Xenopus tropicalis: one gene and its partners. The protein of the gene in region 2 purifies or fractionates together with the protein of the main gene of each other region. This does not show direct contact. Links are inferred from orthologs where the notes say so. Each region holds a gene or a part of one and is shown on either strand. Other genes may lie near its edges.

Region 1 (7,065 bases), about 16 Mb from region 2:
TGGGCTAGCCCAATGTGAAATGTCAAAGTTAAATTTTAAAAAAATCTGTTTGCTCTTTTGAAAAACTGATTTCAATACAGGATTCTGTTGGAGAAGTGTTATTAACTGATGCGTTTTGTAAAAAAAACATGTTTTCAGTGACAGAATCCCTTTAAAGTGTTTTAAAGGTGTGTATATCAGGAGTATTTTTGCTTTAAAAAGGTCAACTTTCCTCAGCAGCATTCTGGCTGTCTGACAACTTTCAGGTCAGAATGCAACCTTAAAGGCTATATGTGGTGTTTTTATGCCTCTAATTACAGAGTTGCAATGTGGCATTAAAAAAATGCCTGTGGAAAAAATTCTAGAATTTTATAGAGAAGTCAGTGCATGTACAACATGCTGCTTGGGACAAACTGTTACAGCCGTGGCGATTAATCATGCAATTGATTTTCAAAAATCATGGCAACTAATCGCTCCATATGTCTTCACCCTTACCAGCCTAACTGGCTCTGATAAACTTCAGTCTCTGTTTACTGCTACGCTGCAAGTTGGAGTGATATCAACCCCCTACCCCCGAGCAACAGAATAATGGGTCGGTAACAAGATTACAGCTTCCTGACCCCACTGACAAAGGATTCAGCTGCCTGAACTGATAGTATCTCCCAGGACTAATAGCACTGCAAGTGAATTTTAGTGAGTGGTAAACAGGCAAAAAAAAAAATACAGTGATTGCAGCATATTTAATATTTCTTCTATTACTGATTTATTTTCTAGAAAGGAAAGCCATAACAGCAGTCTTTGTGGTATAGCGAAAGCTTACATTTGTTACTTATTTAGGGTTATGTATATGCATACTGTATAAATCTGATTATAACATCAAAAGCCTATTTTAGAAAAATAATTAGATACTTTTTTAATCATATTTTTTTAGGATTCAGTCCCTTTATCTACATTGGTTCTTGGGGATACCTCTGATATGACGTCAACTTCTTTTGCACAACGATTAGGTATGTATTAAAATTCCCATTGCATAAGTATTGGCATAGACAAGCATGTCTTTGTGTCTTGCTGAGATAAGAGGGTATGGGTTACGGCTGTCTTGATGTGTTGGCATACAGTCCAATATGGGGGCTGATAGTCAGGATATTAGAGTGTCTGCATAACTGTTCCCAGCATGATAGCATGCCTTTCTGTTGCTTCCCATTATTTGTCAAGCACTGCCCACCTCTCACCATAGGGATGTGAATTGGTCAGGTTGGTGTCACTTAGTTTGAGCTCCTTTGTCTAGATCTGGGTCCCAGCAGAATTACCCATAGTGCTGTTTGTTGCTCTTTCCCGATTGGATTTGAGATTTGCCAAACCCATGAGATGTCTCCTGCACATTCTTAGAAGTTTGTTAGTGTGACAGTGAATAGTTTACAGTTATTGCAATATTATCCAGAAGTCTGTTAGTTTTACTCCCAGTTTGGGATTGAGCATGCTATATCTTGTAAGTGATTAAATGGAGTATGTCCAGGGAATAGGGAAAATTATATTATACTTGCATGATTTTACTTTCCTGGATGTACTCCATATCCACAAATTCCCATTCCTTCTGCAAAGGTTGTCTTATACAGATACTCCTACTGAGGGATGACATGGAGTACAGGTATGGGATCTGGTTTCAAAAACCTGTTGTCCTGAAACTTCCAAATTAGGAAAACTCTCTCTAATAGACTCCGTTATAAGCCAAAAATTCAAATATTAAAAAATGATTTCCCTTTTCTCTGCAATAATAAAACAGTACCTTGTACTTGATCCTAACTAAGATAAAATTAATTCTTATTGGAGGCAAAACAATCCTGATGAGTTTAATGTTTAAATTATTTTTCAGCAAACTTAAGGTATTAGAAAACCCCTGGACCCAAGCAGGTCCCATAGCTGTATTGCCAAGAATTTTTCTTTTTTATATGCTCTTTTACCATTCACAAGCATCTTCGATTAATCACTGCAAAGCCCAGCACTTTTGACCCAGAGATAGGATTAATAGGTGGCCTATCCTTATTTCCCTAGTGTCTGATCTAGAGCCACTTGTCCATGATTTGTTACTAGGCAGCAATACGTTGGCCAGGAGAAAGAATCTGAGAGCAACATGTACTGTAGCAATGGGGACTTACCAGTCATTTGCCTGGGGCAGCAAAGAAGCCTAGGGTTGGTTTTGACAGGCATACACAGAAAAGACAGGCAGGTGGGAGTTGATTGACTTAAAAATAAATATTTTCTACGCATTTAAATATAATGTGGTGGTACCCTGCACTGGTGAAAAAAATGTGTATTTGCTTTTAGAAACACTAGTACCCTTTATATAAATGAGCTGTTCTGTAGCCATGGGGCAGCTAGTTAAGTAGGGCAAAAGGGGTCATGTAAACACAACAGATAAGCTCTGTAGAATAATGGATTTTAGTTCTTATACAGGAAGATAAACAGGGGTCATATGTAATTTATGGCTTTAATAAAGGTCATGGGATATTTCCTGTGATGCTGTTTGACACTACCAGCGCTGGGTATCAAGCAGAAAGCCTGACATGTAAAAGATATATCAGATACAAATATCCCTATTAGACACCAGGTAATATTGCATCTAGCATGGAAGGTGATCAGTACATAAATGCAAGTGTTCCATCCCAAATGTTGGAGGAATGAATTACAGAACATGCACTAATAATCTGCAGCATGGTGAAAGCAGCAGCAAATACATTCATGTTTATTTTCTCATGTCATCCCTATTAATTTAGCCCATTAGCTAAAGCTTTAGAAACTAATTAAGCACTTCATATTAAGAAGCCCATGTCATCCTTTTGGAGTGTTTAATGAAGCAAAGTTAAATGAAATTGTGTTTAACTTGCAGCAAAGAAGACTAAAAAGCAAGTGTTTGCCAGTGTGAACATCCCCAATAATGAAAGCCAGCTAATGCTACTGATTGAGAAACGCATCAGGCAGGAGATGGACACCTTTCCTGAGAAGTTCTGATGGTCTGATTTTAAAGGCACCTGATTTACTCCTTTACTTTGTGATGAAGTTAATACACGCAGAAATGTGCTGTTGGTTCCACGTGAATTCCATTACAGGAGACCTGAAGATCAGTCCCATGTATAGCTAAGAAGCAGTGCAGGGGAAGTACAGCATTCCCTCCAAAGGCATACTGTATGTACCAAAAGTGGGTCATGTGATTGCTCAGCTAAGTAGATCCATTGTTAACACACGAAGGTTAAACTGCCTTTTCAAATGTATTTCTAGAGAAACCTATTTTATTAAAAAAATGACTAGTAATTAATGAGTATTTCTTTCTTATTTAAAGGGGAATTATTGTGAAAAAATAATTTGTCATAAAAAAAAGGAACTTCCCAAATAAAATATACTAAAAATGAATTGCCCTTTCTAGAATACTCCATCTCTGCAATATGTTTCTCTATTTGCAGGGGATGGAGTAAGATTTTAATTGACATTAAGGTCAGATACATTGGTGTGTTCGCTCTGCCTTGATGATGTTTTAGAGCTATCTTTTTAAATAACCAACACTAAGCTGCATATAGAGAGACAGTTTGTAGAGACGGGGATAATGAGGAGTAGCTTCATTATTCCAGAAACGGTACAGAATTGGTTTGATTGGTTATTTTTATAAAGTTTTTTATTTCCCTGAGGTAAGTCCTAAATTAGCTTTCCTTTGCAATTGGCAGTCAACATTGGATCACATTGCTCATGACTTGTGGGTTTATGGGTTTCTGTACAAATGCGAGCACTCATTTATGCTTTAAGAACTTAATCAAAGCAAGAGAACAAAAGTTAAGAATGGCTCACCCAAAAAATTTGTTAGCACTTTTGCAGTGCACACCCTTTCTTCACTGCATATATATCTAACTATAAAACAAGGGACCGGTAAATACAGGTTATAAGTGTGATGGTACAGGTGAGCAATCATTTTTTTTTCCGGATTTTAAAACATTTATATTTTATAGTTCTGCAACTCTAAGGGGCTGATTTACTAAGACACGATTTCGAATCCGAATTGGAAAAATTCTGATTGGAAACGAACATTTTGCGACTTTTTCGTATTTTTTGCGATTTTTTCGGCGTCTTTACGTTTTTTGCGTAAAAACGCGAGTTTTTCGGCGTCTTTACGATTTTTGCGTAAAAACGCGAGTTTTTCGTAGCCATTACGAAAGTTGCGCAAACTCGCGTTTTTTTCGTAGCGTTAACACTTGCGCGCAAAGTCGCGCCTTTTTCGTAGCGTTAAAACTTAAAAGGCGCGACGTTACACGCAAGTTTTAACGCTACGAAAAAACTCGCGTTTTTACGCAAAAATCGTAAAGACGCCGAAAAACTCGCGTTTTTACGCAAAAATCGTAAAGACGCCGAAAAAATCGCAAAATTACCAATCATTACGAAAAAAACGCAATCGGACGCATTCGGCCCGTTCGTGGGTTAGTAAATGTGCCCCTAAGGCTTTGACTTTCAATTGCTGTCTGGTTGCTAGTGCTTACTTAACTGCAGTCTGCAGTTTGGGTGTCAGAAAGGAAAAGCAATAGGAGAGGGCTATAATAATAAAAAAATAAAAAGCAGCAACTAAAAATAAGAGAAACAATAAAATTAAATCCTAACAGATAATCTGTTTTTAGGTTGAAGGAGTAAGCAATCCCCTACAACCTGATCATTGCAGCCTGGAAATAAGCATCAAAGGAAACCTAAGGATTTAAAAACCACATAAAATGCCAATTGAAAAAGTCATTTGAACAGTCCATCTATAACATACTGATGAAGATGAACATCTTCCTTTAAAGTCTGAGCTGAATTACATATTATGAACACAAATCTGACTGTGACAAAAGTCACTTGGAGATGGTATGTGTGTGTGATACAAGAGACAGACCTCACCTAACTCTGCTTGCCTGCCATTAAAGGGGTAGCGGCCTACATCAGTTCCAGTGTAAGAAGCTGTGTAAAATGCTGTAATTGCAAATGCAGAATTTGCACAGCAATTTTTGAACAGGGCTTTGCAGTCGCCTAAAATCATTATGCAGCCGGATAAATACACTGGATTTTGCATGGCGATCCACAGCATTCAGCCAGTGAAGTCTGGTGTGTTTCACTCCCATTTATTTATTTATTTTTTTTAACATGGCTTAATATGTCTCAATGTGTTCAGTATTTAGCCTCTACTTACCTGACCCATTTATTGTAACACTAAAAGCTTGACACTAACTTACAAGTACCACAAGAAAAATACACCTTTTGACAGTTTCTATGTTTTTATTTCTGTACATATACAGTACAAAGTATTTTGCTCAGATACAACCAGATGACATGCACACATTTAGCTTCTAAGACATTTTCGGTACTTGATTTGAAGCTTGTGCTATGGATGAGCACCACCAGACTACTTCTTATGAGTAATTAAAAAAAAAACAGTAAAAACAATTTCCTATTTAAAATTTTGGCAGATAAAGCCATCAACTGTTGAAAAGGAAAAAAAAAATTAAAAATATTACCACTTTCCTTCCTTTGTTGATGTACAGGTAACATAAAAAAACAGACACAATATCCCTAGAGCAGTGTAGAGACTGCTTAGCCCATTGAAACACAAGACCAAGTAAGTACACCAAAGATCATTACCTTCCAGTTTATAGTGCACCATGAAAACACAGGTTCTTTAAATGCAATGTATATGAGTTTCCATCATGTACTCGGAAGCATAGGTAAGTGTATATGCTTCCAGAAACAGACCACCATCCTTGCAGTAGCATCTTTCTTCCCCAGTATACTATACATTGGAGGAGATGGCCAATCTTTTAAATTATGGAAATCAGATGAACAATGATACAAGCAGTAGTAGTTGTTTGGTAAAAATACAGTACAATGCCTACAAACCCATTGGTGATTGCTTGAGAATTACAGCACAGAGGATATTTACGGCTATTCATACGATAAACAGAAATCGGTGTGAATGGTGAGTTTTTTTTCCACAATGGATAACACAGACTAGTATTTCCCCAAAAGCACACACTACAATTCTGAATACACAATTCTTAAGGTGCTTTATAACCTCATCTCTTACAGAAGGGATACAGTGCACTGCAGCCCCTCCAATAGAGATGCGGTTAACACTCAATCAATTAATGGCACTTCTTTCAGTTTGGTGAGCCTACTGTTTTGCTCTACAACATTTAGAAACATTCAATAAAATACAAACATTTAATTTTCATCTGTACAATCCCAATGATCTCTCCCTCCAAATCACAAAACAAAACCAGTTGTACAATGATTTGATTGCTTTGTTTCTGCGCTAAGCAAAACTTGTTCATTCTTAAGCTATTCTTAACCTAAGAGTGGATTTTTTTCTTAAAGGATCATATCATTTGACCCCCATTGCAATTCTTATAGATTTCAAGTAGATTCTCAATGGACAGACAACCTGTTCCCTTTCCTGCTGTTGCCCAGCTGTCGTTAGGAAACTAGGACATAATAGTCCTACACCTGGAAAGCTACAGGTTCTGTATTAATGAAGTAGACTGTTTCCCAGCAGCTCTATTCACATTGTGATTAATGGCTGCTAAACAAGTAAAGCACTATTCCAACAGTTTATTAAGATTATGATTTCAGTTCCATGCTGGGTAGATAAGTGGGTGTTGTCAGGCTTTTTTCATAAAGGTGAATGTGTAGGAACCATTTACTTGGGCCATAATAGTTATAAATTGTTGTTCTATTCCTGGTCTCTGAAAAATCAGAGTAACCTTTCTTTGGTACTGAGAGCCGATTCAGTACAATGGATTCACCCAGCATGTGTATTTTGTACTTCCAAATCAGTAGCACCTATTTGCTTCCAAATTGCTAGTCTTGTGTTCACATGGCACTGATTTAAGACATAACCCATTCTCGATTGTGTTCAAAATTCATTATTTTATATTTATTCTTGAATAAGTAACAGTAAAAAGTAAGTCCACCAAGAAAACTTGTTTAACTGCAGTAAAATTGGTCATATTTTTAAGCAGTCAAAATTCTGAAAATATCCACTTAATTTCATTTTAATTGCAGATATCTCACATGATACCT
Region 2 (9,269 bases):
GTATTGAATGGTCAGATATTGACTGATTTGACTAATTGCATAGACCACTGTACCTTGTTGCAAGCTTTGGTCAGCAAATTAGTTAAATAAACAAATCAGAAAAAAATGACAGGAAGCTGCTGCCCCACTCTTCTGGATCTACAGCTACCACATGAGTCAAGCCGGGGTATTTTCAGAGACACCGAGAACTGCAATATGCAGCCTGTACCTGTACAAAACCTGTATACTATAAATACGACTAGCTTACTTTTTTTTAGTGTTCTTGGTTCTTTGTCAATAAAATGTGTGGCTGGCTTTGGTGTAGATGTTAATTCCCTGGTATCCCTGTCCTAAATTAAATAAAACAAATATTACATTAGGAAGTGCATTTCATGAATCTAATAAAAGCACACATTTTTTAACACCCTCCCTAACTCACCTCCATAAAATGAAGTTCCTTCATGACTTCATCAACAATACCTCGCTGCCTTAAGGCTTTCATCAGATCTTCCTCCGATAACTGCTGGCTTTCTGTCCTAAATTCTTCTCTTAACGATTCTGCCAAGACTTCTCGTATTTTGCCGTGCACATCCATCTACAACCACCAAAATGATCAATGATCTTAATTATGTTGTATGCTGTATCGGCACTGTTTTTTTTATTTCCCATTACACTAAAGTTTTATCAAGATATTCACCAGCTTTTAGGATACATATATTTGTATTTTTTTTAAAGGCAAAATATGATACATGCTGGCCTATACTGTTTAAGACTCAGAATTAATGTTTAATATGTTCTTCAATCACAACATATGTAAATAACCAGTAGATGTAGTAAAACTAATGTTTTCAGTTTCAGCAATATAGTGTGTCAGATCCTTTCAAACTAGTCCTTACACATACTTTCACATACAGAGAGACAGAGAGCTGTGATACCAAAACCAAAAAAAAAAAAAAAAAAAAACATTGTCACTGGCTGGAGCATGCTCTCTGCATTGCCGTGTATATTTGTATATACATAGTGTAACCCTGAACTGTCTAATAATTTTAATTCTCTGCTGTGTACTTAGCTTTGCTGGTGATCAAGAGATCTTCTAAGAACAACAAGATACTTCTAGTCAAGTACAGAATTTGTCACTTCTAAGATGGCCAAAAATTAGCATGTATCCTTAAGAAGAACCCCAATTTTATGTCCACTAATTTTGTTTTCCTGGAATTTAAACCATTTTTATTTTTTGGAAAATAAAAAATCTGGGTTGTACTGTATATGCAACACTCATTGGGGGGCACATTTCAAGAAGACTTGTGCAACCTTGATGGTCATTTTAGCACTAAATGTGGCTTTTAAAGGGAAAATATACCTTCTTTTTTGTAATGGTCCACTTCAGTTGTGATTATGTAGAAAAGATGCATAAACATTTTCTAAAATTCCATAAATATAAAATGTATTTTTTTTCACATAGAAATACCAGATTCCACAGACTGAAATGCAAACACTGTGACAGGGACCACAGGTTCACAGTCTACTGAAACTACTCACTCACCATGTTCCATTGTGATGCAATAGATTATGGGACTTGATGTTCCCCTGCTTTCCATAGTGGGTGATGCACAGTTCTATGGAAAGCAGAAAGACTTCAAGTCCCAGACTCCATAAATCACAATGGAACAAGGTGAGGAAAGGGTTGCATTACACCGTCACCACAAAGGAGGTTGGTTTGCAATTGGTCACCGTTTTAACAGACAATCATAGTTTCCTGTGAAATTATGTATGTCTGTGTAAAGGTGGCCACACACATGGCGATCTGCGATCTTTTGTGCGAAAGATCGTCAGACCCGCCACTAACCTTCAGGGCTGAAACGGCAGATAAGGAGGTAGAAACAATAGGATTTCTACCTCCTTCTGCCGATTCAGCCCTGACGGCAGATTTTGCTCAGGCGCCTTCTATGGTGCCCGTAAAAAAGAAAATAGAAGTTTAGATAACAAGTCTCTAAAGGCCGCTCAATGACATGTTCCTTAGCTTTTCTTTGCAGTGAAAATCAAAACCAAATAGGTTTTATTTAATGTGGCTAAGCACAAAAGAAACAGCTAGTTTAGTAGCACCATTAGAATAAAGGAGTAAAAGTTGGGTCTTATCCAAGTTGCCACTGTGTCATAATGGCCTTTAGGCTAGAGGGACATGGCCATTCCTTATACAACTTTCAATTTGGATCTCAATGTAAGAGGGGGAAGAAGACTGCGCTCCTACAAAATTAAACACATGAGTGACCGTGATGGGGCTCAAAAGGCCTGACCTGTTTGGGGCTACAAACCCTTAATTATAGGCTTCCAACTCGGATTGCTTTTGCAGGCAAAGCGTTAAAAGGGTACTCTGGACTTATCACTTAAAACGTTAGTGGCTGGTGTAAATTAGAGGGTTGCCTTTAATCTAAGTAGCAATCATAGCCACAACAGGTGTACATACTGTCAATAAACCATCGGTGCAAAGCTCAATATGCTTGGCTTCTGAGTTTCCACAAAAAGTAAGTAAAGCCTGTAGCATGAGTAACAGTGAAGAGAAGACATTGGCAGACTAGCAGTGTAAATACACCACTGAAACAAAGCAGCAATCTTTATAGGAGTTTGTCTTACTGACTGGGGGCAAAGGACTGCAATAGTACAACTATGTATAACTGCCTCTCATATTAAAAAAGAAAAATGTGATCCCCTACAGGAATCACAGCTTTATACAAATGTCAACCATTCCATAACTACAACTCCCTTAATATTCTGACAACTTCGCTGACCTCCGCGTCTATTAGAACCTGGTATGGTTTCTTACACGGGTCAGCTGTTCGTGGATGATTTGTTTGAGTTCGGTGGCTTTCTCCGGAGGCAGTGCCATGCTGGCTGTGTGAGGACTAAACTACAGAATGATGTATTCACCAAGGGGAGACACCGTCCCACATACAGTCCGTACGTCCGCGTGTCACATTCCTTTCTTTCTCTACTTCCAAGCTCTTCAGGCACAAGGGAACAGACTCTGCCTCAGGTTCTGCTCTACCCGCTCCTTTCCATCTGTATCACGATACGCTACGTACTCACTCTCATACCTCCCTCAAGCAGTCACCCAATAACAACCTAATTACTGTTGCCATCTATTTCCCCGCCCTCAAGGTGGCGGGATACACCGCGGGAAGCCTTCTTTAGCGCTGTCTTTGTTATCAGGCATCGGAGCAGTCAGCCAAAGTACAAAAGCGAAGGCCCCACCGAGGTCCGGCACTAGTGACGCGCAAATTGCGCGCCCGGGTTGAATGTAAAAGTGAAAGATACAGTGCGCCGTCATGTTCGTACCCATAGGCTCTGAGCAGGATTTCCCGAGTGATTATACGCTGCTGCTGGTATGTATGGCTATCGCACTGGCAGGCTAAACGTCTTGGGCACACTCATAGTAACATAAGGGGCTATAACCACTTCTAGTGACAGCTGTGGGAAGGCTCACTCCTGACTGGTCCAGTATCATTTGTCTTTCTCTAAATGTAAAGCTATAAGAATAAGAGAATGTAGTTTGGTTTTTAATATGTGTGTTTATGCTGCAATACTTTAGGGTATGATGATATACTACTACACAGCTCAGGGTGACTGTATCATTTGTAGAAAGAAGTGTTTGCAGGAATCTATGACCTGCAAACAGCATTTGTTCTAGGGATAGAATTGCTACCTAGCAACAACTAATGGGGGTTTTTCAGCAGCCTCCCAAAAATAAGCTGGAAACATTTATTTTGCCACTACAGCCACGTTTCTGCTGTCCCCTTGTGACGTGCTTGTGCCTTTAATATGTGGGAGCAAGCACAGGTCTGCTCAGTGCTGATTGGACAGCATAGAGCAGGGAGGAGAGTAGCTGAAATTAGATTTATTACTGGAAGTCTGCTGGATAATAGTCTTAAAAATAAGGGAATGTCATTGAAAGGAGCAGAGATTTAAAAAGATGAAGATGCAGTTCAAGTTGTAATTGTCTTATATATGGACTAAGAATAAAAGGAGTAATAAACGAGGCTATAGTACCTTGAGCATTAGAAGAAAGTTATCTGTCCTGCAAACTCACTCAGGAAGATAATTGATTACTCGGTTTTCTTAAGCCACTGACATCTGCGTCACACTCCTGGGAATCATTGTCTGTAGAGACAGACCTCCTACAGGGTGCAGGGTTCCCACTAGAGCAGCCCAAACGGGCCTCTTTACTGGGAGTGGAACCATGAGACACGTTTAGTTTAACTTCAAATGGAGAAGAGATACCTCCTTGTTTAATCTTAGGAGTATCCATGTGGGACTGAACCCTGACTGAACCCTTCCTGGGGCAGTCAAATGAGGAGGAAAGAAAGCAGTGTCTAACGTCACTCTTTTTTTTCAGAACAAATAAAAAATGTCTCTCCTCATGTTTAAAATATAAAGGAGATTACACACTCCATTTTGTGTGGTATTTGGAAGGAAACTAAGGTGGAAACATCATGGAGTCTGTAGCAGATAAAGAAACTGCATCCTCCATAAACGCTGAGGTAAAAATCTAATTTTCCCATTCAGCTACTCCCCTTCCTGCTCTGTACTGTTTAAACAGCACTTAACAGACCTGTGCTTGCTCCCACATATTAAAGGTACAAGCACGTCACAAGGGGAAAGCAGAAACGTGGCTGTAGTGGTAAAATACATTTTTCCAGTGTATGTTCAAGAGGCTGCCCCAAACCCCATTAGCTGATGCTAGGTGGCAATCTCCCGTAGAACAAATTAAAGTGTTACATTTTAACCTGCCTTAAGACACTAGGGCTTATTTACCTACATAAGTGCTAAATTACAAAAGTACACTTGGCCATGGCTATCAAACAGCTTTGATAAGTCTATTACCATTCTGAAACGAAAGCAAATATCTGATCGGATGCTAAAGGCAACTATCCTGTTGCAATTTAGGACACATCTATGGAATTTAGCCTCCCCTGTGTTAGGTCTGATGCACAAAGATGACTTCTTACAGGGAAACTAAAGCAAAGCTCACTTAAAACTTAATTACTTAGTCATAACATATCTGCATTGTTTAGCATACTCATGCCATGCACTGAAACATTTTTACTGGTCAGAAGTATGCAGAACTAGATTTTTAGTAATGTAGATAAGAATGTTATAGAAATTTATAACAGGGATTGTTGGTTTACAGCTACACATTCCTTATATGTCAGTGGAAAAAAAAAGCTGTCCTTTGTCCTATCACAATAGGCTGTGTTTGTGGGGAGTTTTGCATTTGCACTAGAGAGTGAGGGTCTTAAGGTGGCCATACATGGTGTAGGGACCCCAAAGAATTGGGCCCCTCCAGGATTAGTTCCCCTTTAGACAGGCACCATGAGGGTGGCCTTATGAGATTTGGACACCTAAAGGTGGTCCTGGGTGTTTATGTGTGAAAAGGGAGTTTCCCTGCAAGTTAACAGCCACCACTAGATGTCGCTGTGCTAAAAGTATAAAAGTGAATGACTCCCAGTTTCAGCAGGTCTTCGTCCTGGGACTGCTTCTTGTAAAGAAGCGTATAACAGGCTTGTGTTCTAGTACAGGAGGTACTGTAACAGGTCACTCTAGGCGTGACAGGCAGGCTAGAGAGAACGGGCAGTGATAGCCCTGACAGGAGAGAGAGGGGTTAAGACCCCCCAGCACTCATGGCTGGAGTTCAGGTCCTGTAGTGTGTAGTAAGAGGAGCCAAGTCAGCACCTGGGAGTGTTCCCAGTGAAGGGGCCCTACGCGTGGACCGTGGACGCGTGAGTTCCTAGGTGGAAGCATCCGGCGGGAGTACCGGGGGTAGCCCAAAGAGAGAGTGTGTGACTTGAGCCGTCTGTGTGACATCCTCTGAAGTGTTCTGCCTGCATCAATAAACAAGTTCATCTGGTTCACCATTTTAACCAGTGTCTTGGTGGTTCATATACTGAGGATCCTCAACTGCCTGGTAAGCAGCTACCCCAAGGGAGGGGCAATGTACCGGGAGTTGCTGGGAGTCCGGGTCCAAGGAGGACCTCATAGAGTTTTCCCAGGGAGGATACATATAGTTCTACCTATACCTACCCTGGGTGGAGGCACGCCATTCATTTATATTACACCTGTCCCCCATAATAAGCGGGGGCTCAGGGCTCCTGTAGCGCCACACGCAGGTGATTGCGTGTTAAAAGTACAACCGTAGCCAAAATAGGGTTACAATGGTAAGATCCGCTCGCTTGGCCCTGGGACCAAACAATCAAATTAGAACGGTATAGGTGCTGTCAGTTCAGGGACCGCATTACCGAGCCTATGCGGTCCCTTATCCAATGGAAAAATTAAGCCTGCCTGATTGAGACCTGCCCGATATCAGGGCAGATGACGGTTGGGCAGGCCCGTCCTTTATGTCCATACATGGTATTTTAGCATTGCTCAAAATTTTATGCAAAATCCAAAAAGTATGGATTTGTACATCCCTACTTTAGAACTACTGAAAAGTTTGAATTAATGTGTGTTTGAAAATTGGTTTGCAAAGCATTTATTTATGCAAATTCTTTTTTTTTCGTGGATGTCCTTTAATTAGTATAGATTAGTAAAAGCAAATGCCTGAGCAGTTTCACTTACAGTGATGAAGTTACACTTCCATGCAAGACACAGGGCAATTTAATAAATATATGTTGTGCAGTAATATTTCTACTAAGTCTTTTTGATAATGATTTCTTAAACATAACTATTGTTTTTTTTCTGTTCCCTTTGTTTTAGCCAGCCATATCAGTTGGAAATGTTGGGCAATTAGCCATTGATTTGATTATTTCAACTTTGAAAATACCAAAAGTGGGGTATTTTTACACAGATTGCCTTGTACCTATGGTTGGAAGCAATCCATATGAAACTGACGAAGAGAATGCAAAGGAACTCTGCACAAACGCTGAAGGTATTTAAAATAATTTCAGTGGAAGAAGTAGGTATTTAATTTAATGTTAGTTATTTGTAGTGGGAGTAGTAGGTACTTGCCTGTGTGGATGGTGTTTGGCTAAAGAAGATTTTTAGTTGCAGAGATTAGACAGAAATTTCTATATTTTGTACCCCAGCCACAGTAGTCTTGGTCATTTGACTATAGCTGAAGAATGGTTGAAGCTGTAGTTCAGCATAAACATGAGACACACAGCAAAGAAGCTTTTCTAACTTGCTCTTATGTTTTTTTTTTTTTAGTGTATGCATTGCCATCCCAGAAACTTGCAGTTCTCCAGCTAAGATCACTTGTTATAAAGGTAAGAATGTTATTAGAAAACTGTTAAATGCAGACTGATTGTACACCGTGAAGTTATACCCTATGGAAAGGCATGTTATAACTAAATCTTTTTTGTATTTAAAGAAAAAATCCAAATCCTTTCGGCAAGCCCTGGTTTCCTGGATTAAAAGATGTGCTTTTGCCAGAGTGATTCTTCTCTCAAGTTGCCATGCTTATCACAGAGATGATACACAGCTTTTTGGGTATGTTATCAGTGTTGTCACCCAGAGTAATTGCAATTGCTTACATGATACCCAAGGCCAATGTACTATCCTGGGGTATTTCTGTAGGAGCTTCTACAGAAATACCCTGGGCTGGTGCAGTTTTTAGCAAGCACTGGCCTTAAATGTTGGCACCCTCCCAATGAATATACTTTTACTTCTTCTTTAAAGCCCTTGTTAGCTTTTTAATTTGCTGGATAATTAATTTTTACCATTGACTTAAAGTATCTTCTGTTTCTGATATCTTTTAAGAAAAATAAAAATCTGGCTGCACTTTTGCTCCCTTTTCACTGAAGAGTTTGGAACAGTATACTATATTATACTGAACTTTTTTAGTCTTTGTAAACATGGCCCTATACTACTAGCCAGGCCCTTTGGGTATTGGGCCCTGCCAAATAAGAAGAATTGGGTCCTGTGTTTAAGAAAAAAAACCAAACAAAATTGCACATATAAAGAAGTCTTACTATGCTCGTAATCTGCACCCAACACCCAAACCCACACAATATGGCTGCCTTTTTTATAACATAATACATTAGGGAAGTGCTGAGAAAATATTGATTCACTTACATTAAAAAAAACCAAGCAATAGCATTTTTATATATTCTGAATCAGTGCTCTGGTTCTGACTTATTCAGATGCAGGCCATGTTTCTAAATGCATTAAAGGAGAAGGAAAGGCTAGTAAAGAGAAAAATATGGATTGGATACGATAATTTCTGAAGATCGCAAATATCACGAAAATGCTTACGAAAAAATCGTATTAGTCACGATAATATCGTATTGGCGATCCCAAAGTCAAGAAATTTTCATACCAAACAATTGTAAACAGTGGCAGAAGCTTTCCGAATTTTTCGCGCTAGTGCGAAAAAAATCGGCGAAAATACGCTCGGAGTGTTCGAATGAACGTTCGTTTCTTAATAAATCTCCCCCTTAGGAGTCAGCTTCCTGCTGTTTGGCTCAGATCCACATTCCTAAGGGGGGGGGGGAGTGAGTTCTTGAAGGAGGGGGGAGCAGGAGAGAGCAGAAAGCTGCGTGTCTGTGGCACAGGAATTAGACACAAGAAATATGTTTTCAGAGAAGTCAGTGCAGCGTTTGAGTGCTTATGGCTGTATTTACATAGACCTTTCTGATAAAGCTTACTTAGTTTTTACCTTTCTTTCTCCTTTATTTACAGAATGTAGATCGTGTAACAGAATTTATGAGTAGAAGTATTATTTAATAAATTATGCTGTAGGAGTAGTAACTTATATTTTAGAGCTAATATTTTTATATAAAGGCTAACAGCCCACAAGCGTTTTGGCTGCCATTACAACAGAAGCATTCAATACTTTTGTCAGCCTGTGTGCATCCAATACAGTGCTTTTCTTTCACAAAGAATGATGACTGGAGCGATTTAACTAGAGCTGAGCTCTACCAGATGGCAGTGGCGATATTGTTCCCTGTATGCCATAGCCCTTATGGTATGTAACTTGTCTTTTGCAGAACACCATTCCGTTACTTGGTCACTCCAGCTTTACAGAAATCTGTGGCAGATGTGCTAAAAGAACTGGAATGGAAGGAAATGGAAAAGGTGTCTTCTTACCCAGGGCTGAACGATAACGAGAAAAGGGTTTTCATTCCAGGAGGAGGTTTTACAAAGCGATTTTATGATGATTGGTGGGTAGTTCATTCAGTTTGAAGTTTCTCATGCTTATTGAAAATAGAAAGGAGATTTTGTGATATTTGCAGTTAAATCCTTTTCTCTCAGGACATCTGGAGTATAGTATCTACCAGCAGGAGGCAGGACACTGGAAG
Region 3 (7,533 bases), on a different chromosome or scaffold from region 2:
ATATAACTTTTTATATAAATTCATTTGAGAAAAAAACAAATCATTCTAGGAAATAACTTTAAAAACATTTAAAAAGGACATTGGTATTATGATTAAATTGGTATCAATGAGACCTGGTGGGATGAAAAATGTGACTGGGCTGTGAATTTAAATGGTTACACAATTTTTAGGAGGGACAGAGAGATTAAAAAAGGTGGAGCGGTTTGTCTTTATGTAACGTTAGAGTTAAAGCCATGTAATAAAGACATTACCAAGGAAAATGTAGAATCCCTTTCGGTAGAAATTTCAGCCTAAAATGATCATTAGTGTATGCTATAAACTGCCCCGTATAAGTGAGGGGGATGAGGTCCAGCTACTATTGCAAATGAAATAGGCTTCATAAGTAGGTCAAGTTGTTATTATGGGGGACTTTAATTATCCGGACATTGACTGGAGTAATGGGGTGGCTAAGTCAGAAAAAGCTAGTAGGTTTGTGAATATGCTAAATGACAACTTTTTATTTTAGGCGGTTCAAGAACCCACTAGGAATGACGCTATTTTGGACCTGGAAATATCTAATAATACTGAACTCATCTCTAACATTTGTGTGGGTGAGCATTTAGGGACCAGTGATCATAACATGGTCTCCTTTGAGATAATGCTGCAGAGACAGCTCTATAAGGGATTAACTAAAACATTCAATTTTAGACGTGCAGACTTTCCCAATATAAGGGCATCTCTGCAATGTGTCAACTGGGAAAGTATTATTTTAGGGTTATACACAGAAGGAAAATGGAACATCTTTAAAACATTGCTTAGCAGGTATACACAACAGTATATTCCCCTTGTAAGCAAGGAGAGGCATTGAAAAGCAAAACCTTTATGGTTGAATAAAAATATTAGTATCGGGGTTGGTAAGAAAAAACGTGCTTTTAAAACATTCAAGTTAGCTGGGACAGCAGAAACTTTCATCAGGTACAAGGAAGCAAATAAAGCATGCAAAAAAGCTATCAGGCAAGTTAAAATAGAGATTGAGATTGCAGGTAGAAGTAAAAATAATCCAAAATTATTTTTTAATTATGTGAATAGTGAAAAAATGAAGCAAGAAGGAGTGAGAACCTTATTATCACGGGGGGGTAAGTTGGTTGATGAGAACAGGGAAAAAGCAGAAATTTTGAACTCTTATTTTTCATCTGTGTATACATCTGAGGAGCCAGATAATGAAGGCTTCCCTTTTAATATGCCCAGTTCTAGTAATTTAGCTACTGATGCGTGGGTCACTCGGGAGGAAATTCAAAAGAGACTTTAACATGTAAAGGTAAACAAAGGTCCAGGACAAGTTGGTATTCATCCCAGGGTATTAAACAAGCTTAGCGCTGTGATTGCCAAGCCTCTTCACTTCATTCATTGGATTCATTGAGGTCTGGCATGGTGCTGAGAGACTGGCGAATTGCTAATGTGATGCCGTTATTTAAAAGGGGATCCCATTTTCAGCCTGAAAACTATAGACCTGTTAGTCTGACATCAGTAGTAGGGGTAATAAGAGATAGGGTACTTGAATACATTGCAGTTCACAATACTATAAGTTTGTGCCAGCATGGTTTTATGCGTAACAGATTTTAGTCGCCTTTTACGAGGAGGTGAGCAGAAACCTCAATGCTGGAATATCAGTTGATGTCATCTGTTTGGACTTTGCTAAAGCGTTTGATACAGTACCTCACAGAAGATTAATGATAAAATTGAGGAATATTGGCCTGGAGTACTGCAGAGGTCAGTCCTTGGTCCTTTGCTTTTTAAGTGAGCATAGAAAGTACTAATTCTATTTTTGCTGATGACACTAAATTGTGCAAAACTATAAGTTCCATGCAGGATGCTGCCACTTTGCAGAGCGACTTGACAAAATTGGAAAACTGGGCAGCAAACTGGAAAATGAGGTTCAAAATGTGCTGAAAAATTAACCCTTGGCTTATACTCGAGTCCCTCTGCTACCTGATTCCCTGTGCGCATTTCTACGCGCCGCTCCTTCCTGACTCCTTCCGCCCCCGGCGTGATGTCACACACTCCCTGCTTTAGCTCCAGTGTCTAATGGGGAGGGAGAGCCCTTAGAAGCAGGCAGGCACGGGAAAGTTCAAACTGGCCTGCGATTTATTACTTTGTGTGGCGAGTGGGGAGAGCTCTTTGAAGCAGGCAGGCAGGCAACGGAAAGTTCACAATGCAGGAGCGAGTGAGTGAGGGAGGGAGGGGGAGCTCCTTGAAGGAAACCGCAAGCTGAATGGAGGGGTGGTCCATTAGCAACACAGGTATTAATGAGTGATTCCTTCTCCATGTGACCCTGCTAGAGGAGGCAGTAGGGGGAGCCTGGCATCTCGCATACTCATTCCCTGCAGGAATTTGTTCAGTAAGATTGATAGATCCTAATTTTATTGGAATTTATTTTGATTATTGAAACTAAGCGGTAGCTGCTGCATTTCCCATCCTAGGCTTATACTCGAGTCAATAGGTTTTTCCAGTTTTCTTAGGTAAAATTAGGTACCTCGGCTTATATTTGGATCGGCTTATACTCGAGTATATACGGGTAAGTTACAAATGTTGCGAGCAACTAATACAATTAGAACTGAGAAACAGTTATAAGTGAACAGAATGCATTTATACATATAGTCTAACCCACTGCAAGAAAAGCACCAACTATTTCTGTGGCCAAGGTTTGGAAACAATGTGTTTATTAATGCCTACTAATTAATTACTAGCTAATTAGAGAATTAACTAGCTAATTAGAGAATTAACAGGTACAGGGATTGTGTGTTTTTTTAAGTTTCCTACCTATGATTTCATTATTATGATTTTAAATTAATGGTTATAAAGGTGTTTTTAAGTAGGTGTGCCACTCAAATGTGTTGTCTTTACTAATTATATTTCAATTTACTTACTACACAGTGAGCACCCAAAATTTACTATAGTGCAGGGTTTCCTTTATTTACAGAAAAAAATTGTTGTCACTCTTGGGGAATCTGTGCTAGATTTATATGCAACAATGGAGAAAGCACCACAGGGTCTGTTTCATCTAGTTACACCAATGATTCCAGTGTATTTTGTGGGGCTCCGCCTCCACTTCATTAGTGAATAGGAGCTTCAGTGTGTACAGCGTCTTAAAACCACAAGTACTTACCATGAATTGACCCCTGGAACCAGACACATATGTAGCTACAGCAGTAAAAGAGCACATGAGAAATCTTTGCGGTGCAAGTGGTTGCCCCAGCAACCACTGTAATTGTGTTACAAGTGCAACAGTGACAATAAATATATGAAAAAATTAATGAAAATTAAAATCAAGTTGAGTGTATACCCAGAGCAAAAGCTTTCCAACAACTCCGGTTGGGGTAAATAATACTATTTTGGTAATAAAATGCACAATGCACAATGTTTCCTGCCTGCACCAAGATGAAGCTGCAATGGAATAAACTGTTTTGGCATGTTGGGTATAAGAATAATTATGTAGTGTACTTTTGCACTATTTTGCAACTTCAACCTCATGTATATCTTAACTACGTATATGAAAGATATGATGTTGGGTCATATGGAACAAAGTTTAGCAGAAATATGGACATTGTGTTAGAATGGTCTAGGGTTACATGATATTGTTGCAGAAAAGTGTACTAAGGCTTAACATGGTAACTTTTGCACTCTATACCAATTATTATAGGAAGTAAGTGTTCAGTGTACAAATATTGTTTTTATATTTGTATCATGTAATGTGATAACAGTTAAAAGAGGAAGTTAAATATCACTATGCACAAGGGATGGATTTTTGATAGAGAGCACAAATTTATTGAATTAGTAGTAGTTGAGTAATCAGTTCCTGCACACTATGTTACAGATTATAAAAGCGAGGGATGTTGTCACCAGATATGATTCTGTTCTTAGTTCCTTCCTTGGTCACAGTTACTAAATATATAACTCCTCCACTTGAGCCATCTCTCTCCATTGCCAGGGATAGAGCTAAAATCAAAATATAAAACACACACCATATCAACAAATATGTTTGCACTGATCTGAAACAATGATTTATTCTCTCTTCCCATGCATTCCCTCTTTAATTCATTGGGATAAAGTGCCAAGTGCAACACCCAATGATAAAATCCTTACTCACCAAAACTTTAAAGGTAAGTACAGATCAACCAAATTTATGCTGAATCCATAAATTCTTCCTTCTGAAGAAGCACGGTCTGGCTAATGCCAGGCGTGGTGTTTGGCATATATTTTCGGCAAGCCAAAAATCGTTTGCTGAAAGTAATGCCATATGCCTCATACCTGTGCCTGCACCCGAATGAATAAAATACACTCGGGTTTTGGGATACCCGCCAAAAACCACAAGACTTCATATCTTCGGCGGATATTAACTACATGTGCCTGCACCCAAGCGTATTTCCTTCATTCGGGTGCAGGCACAGGTAGGAGGCGCATAACCCCACGTCTGGCATTAGCCTTAAAGTGATACTGACACCAAAAAAAATCTTATCAACATGTTAATCTACATTCAAACCTACCTATAGGTCATGTTGACTATTTTTTTCTGAAAGTTCTGGTTCTCTAAATAAATCCTATAGGAGATCCTGGACCCTACTGTCTGGCAACCTGACTGTAGCTTCTCAAGCTGCCTGTCAAAAGAGGAGCTAGCAGACGTCACAAACCCTCCCTTTTCACTTTCCCATACTTTGAGCCGGCATAAATAAACACGTGACCCTCACATCGGCAGTATAAGGAAGCTCCTCTCTGTTGCCTGCTTCAAGGTCCTCTCGGTTGCTTGCTTCAAGGTACTCTCCCCCCCCCTCCTCCTCGCACAATCAGATAGCAGACACAGATATTTCCGTTGCCTGCCTGCTTCAAAGAGCAGGCAGGCACACAGAGCAGGGACTTGAGCTAAGCCTTCATGTGAGATGAACTAAGGAGCACATGAAGGGAGAAAGGGCAGCACAGGTCGCCAGATTGGATGATTCCTCTAGGTTTTTTTTAATGAAGGCATGTAAAACGTAGCACTGAAGAGAAGAGAAAAAATGGCTGCCCTGTTGAGCTTTGGTTGATGCGTTCCTTATGGTAATGCAACTACTTGTTTGAAATTTTGTTTAGTTTTTTGAAATTTTTAAATTTGAAACAGTTTAGTATCTTAAAACAATAAAAACACCATGGCAGGTTTAAAAATAATAATGAACTAAAAAAAGTATATTGCGTGTCAGTATCGCTTTAAAGTTTTGGTGAGTAGGCAATTTTACCATTGGTTGACTGACCTGTCATCCTTGGTCTAACTTTTCTGAAGTGTCCCCAGCACATTTCAAGCACATTTCAAACACGTTTTTTAGAACATTAACATGGCACAGCATGTTTCTAATTAAATAATGGTACTGTACCATATTATCAATTTTGAGATTTCCTTCAGAGATAGGAGATAAGGCCTAGTGAAGGGCAGCTGCAATCAGGAATACCTAATATCAACTGAAGACTCCACAGTATTTGTGCTGAATGAACAAATTATTAGCTTTGTTTTGTATACTACAGGCAGAATAATAAAGGCAAATGCCTAATTGGTTGCTATGTTACTGTTCTTTGTGCAATGTATTAAATGATCAAACAAATTCAGACAGAATAAACCATCTCTGCCCTATTCCACTATTGCTAACAAAGCAACATGTCTAGATTTCTATTTCCTGCACAGTGGGTGAAGAAATGGCAAAGCAGAACCTTTTTTGTGTTTTTATCTCACCTTGAACTGCAAATGTTTCACATTCTTCTCTAGACATCCCAGGCTTAAATGTAGAGTCCACAAAACCATAAATATATGTACTGCCGGACCCACCTATTGCGAAAGGCTGTCGTGTTATCATTCCTCCAAGAGTTCCATAAACCTGAACAGAGAGACAGACTGATCTTACAGACAGGGCTGCTTTTCTTTAACTGCTAGTATTAACTGTACATGTTTTTCAGATGAATTTTTAAGGGGTGAAAATGAGAAAATACTATATAAAGGTATAGGGATTAAATTGTTGTGTAATTTGAAATAAGTTAGTTCTATTAGTAGCTCACTGCACTCGTAATTTTCTTCTGAAGTGTACTTACAGGTACAGGTTACTCTTACCAACTCACCTGAAAGTTCAGGAACTCTTCTAAAAAAATGCACTGGTTGCATTTAAATTAAATTGCAATCAGTGCAACCCTTCTAGTTGGATTTTCTCCTAGTTTTTCATGTGATCTGATAACTTTAGGAAAACATAGGTGTCACTTGAGTTTCCCAAAGTAGCTTTTACACAGGGCTGGAACTAGAAGTAGACAGGAGAGGCAGGTGCCTTAGACAGGGCCACACAATTTTGCCGGGCCCTGTAAAAAATCTTTTGTTAAGGGGCCTGGTCGTGTCACGAAAGTTAAAAAAATTGCGACGTTATGCATAGAGTTACACCTTAACGTACTTAATTAACATATCTTCAGCAAAAACGCCTTAGTAAACGATGTAACTTGCCTAGAAACTTAAGTAACTTGCGTATCAAGTAAAAGACAACACAGAGAAGCTTTTCAGGGACAAACTCCACTGACTCCTGAAGAATTAAAAAACTTAAGGTAAATTACACTGCCCCCAGTGAACTGACTGACTTATTAGCATATTAATTATTAATTTTAACTATTTATATGAAGTGCTTATTACAGTGAAACATCAGCTGTTTATATTGGGTTCTATTTACTGAATTATATTAGCGTCTTCTACATGAACTTTCCAGCAAGGAAATGACTGGTTATTGGCCCCTACATGAACATCACTGGGCCCCGACGCTTACGCAATTTACCAGCTTGCAAAAACTTACGTTACTTTCAAAGAAACTTACGTGTAAACTCAACTGAACCCCCAATTAAAATACTGACTTAGGGCCCCTAAACTTATGCAGTTTATGTAACTTGTGCAAAAAAATTACATAACTTCCATATCAAGCAATGACAGCACAGAGCAGGGGCACATAGGTGGTAAGGGGTTAAACTAAGGGCAAACTCTACTGACCCCCAATAAACTGAATGACTTATTAGCACATTAGTCAATGGAAGGCTTGTGTTAATTAGCGCATATATAAACTTGTGAGGGGCCCCAAAGTTTCTGATGACGGCCCTGGCCTAGGGCACAATAGTAGTGGTGATGATAAGTTCTGGGCATTTACTCCTTTGGCCAGTTTGAAGTCCTGGGGTTTAACCAGTCTAAAGGCCCCCCATGCAAAACTGGGATTCAGCATTCGAGTGCTTGCAGGCTCGGGGGATGCATGAGACAGTGTGCACACATGCATGCGAGTGAGAGGAGAGGAGCAGGAGGTGCGGGTCTTTGCTTTGGTGGCTCACAAACCCTGGGCCTGCTGCTGCATTTATATTATTGCCAGTAAGAAAGCATTTGCACGAGAATCCAAACATGTGCCATATGCCTAAGTCATCATGCCACCTAAAGCCAAATTGCCAAGTCGGCACGATAAAGTCGGATTTTTTCTTACTTCTAAGTAATTTCAAAATTTTCAAGTGGGTTTTCACCAGAAC

What was found.
Region 1: the proteins of psmg2 (region 2) and psmg4 purify together in Homo sapiens (affinity purification with mass spectrometry; 3 studies listed by BioGRID and IntAct, counting the BioPlex papers as one, with this or other methods). This does not show direct contact. The link is inferred for Xenopus tropicalis from reciprocal best matches to the Homo sapiens genes PSMG2 and PSMG4.
Region 3: the proteins of psmg2 (region 2) and psmb9 purify together in Homo sapiens (affinity purification with mass spectrometry; 3 studies listed by BioGRID and IntAct, counting the BioPlex papers as one, with this or other methods). This does not show direct contact. The link is inferred for Xenopus tropicalis from reciprocal best matches to the Homo sapiens genes PSMG2 and PSMB9.

The regions. Positions count from the first base shown.
Region 1 is NC_030682.2:87,663,976-87,671,040, reverse strand, and holds the end of psmg4 (proteasome assembly chaperone 4), read left to right. Parts: intron 1-910; coding exon 911-986; intron 987-2,866; coding exon 2,867-2,988; 3' UTR 2,989-3,288; downstream 3,289-7,065. UniProt on the Homo sapiens protein: Chaperone protein which promotes assembly of the 20S proteasome.
Region 2 is NC_030682.2:103,527,222-103,536,490, reverse strand, and holds the start of psmg2 (proteasome assembly chaperone 2), read left to right. Parts: upstream 1-4,415; 5' UTR 4,416-4,466; coding exon 4,467-4,514; intron 4,515-6,726; coding exon 6,727-6,898; intron 6,899-7,176; coding exon 7,177-7,235; intron 7,236-7,339; coding exon 7,340-7,458; intron 7,459-8,957; coding exon 8,958-9,131; intron 9,132-9,269. Other genes in the region: cep76 (centrosomal protein of 76 kDa), read right to left, coding at 248-329, 419-574. UniProt on the Homo sapiens protein: Chaperone protein which promotes assembly of the 20S proteasome as part of a heterodimer with PSMG1.
Region 3 is NC_030684.2:73,270,776-73,278,308, forward strand, and holds the end of psmb9 (proteasome subunit beta type-9), read right to left. Parts: intron 5,877-7,533; coding exon 5,735-5,876; intron 3,976-5,734; coding exon 3,848-3,975; 3' UTR 3,778-3,847; downstream 1-3,777. UniProt on the Homo sapiens protein: The proteasome is a multicatalytic proteinase complex which is characterized by its ability to cleave peptides with Arg, Phe, Tyr, Leu, and Glu adjacent to the leaving group at neutral or slightly basic pH.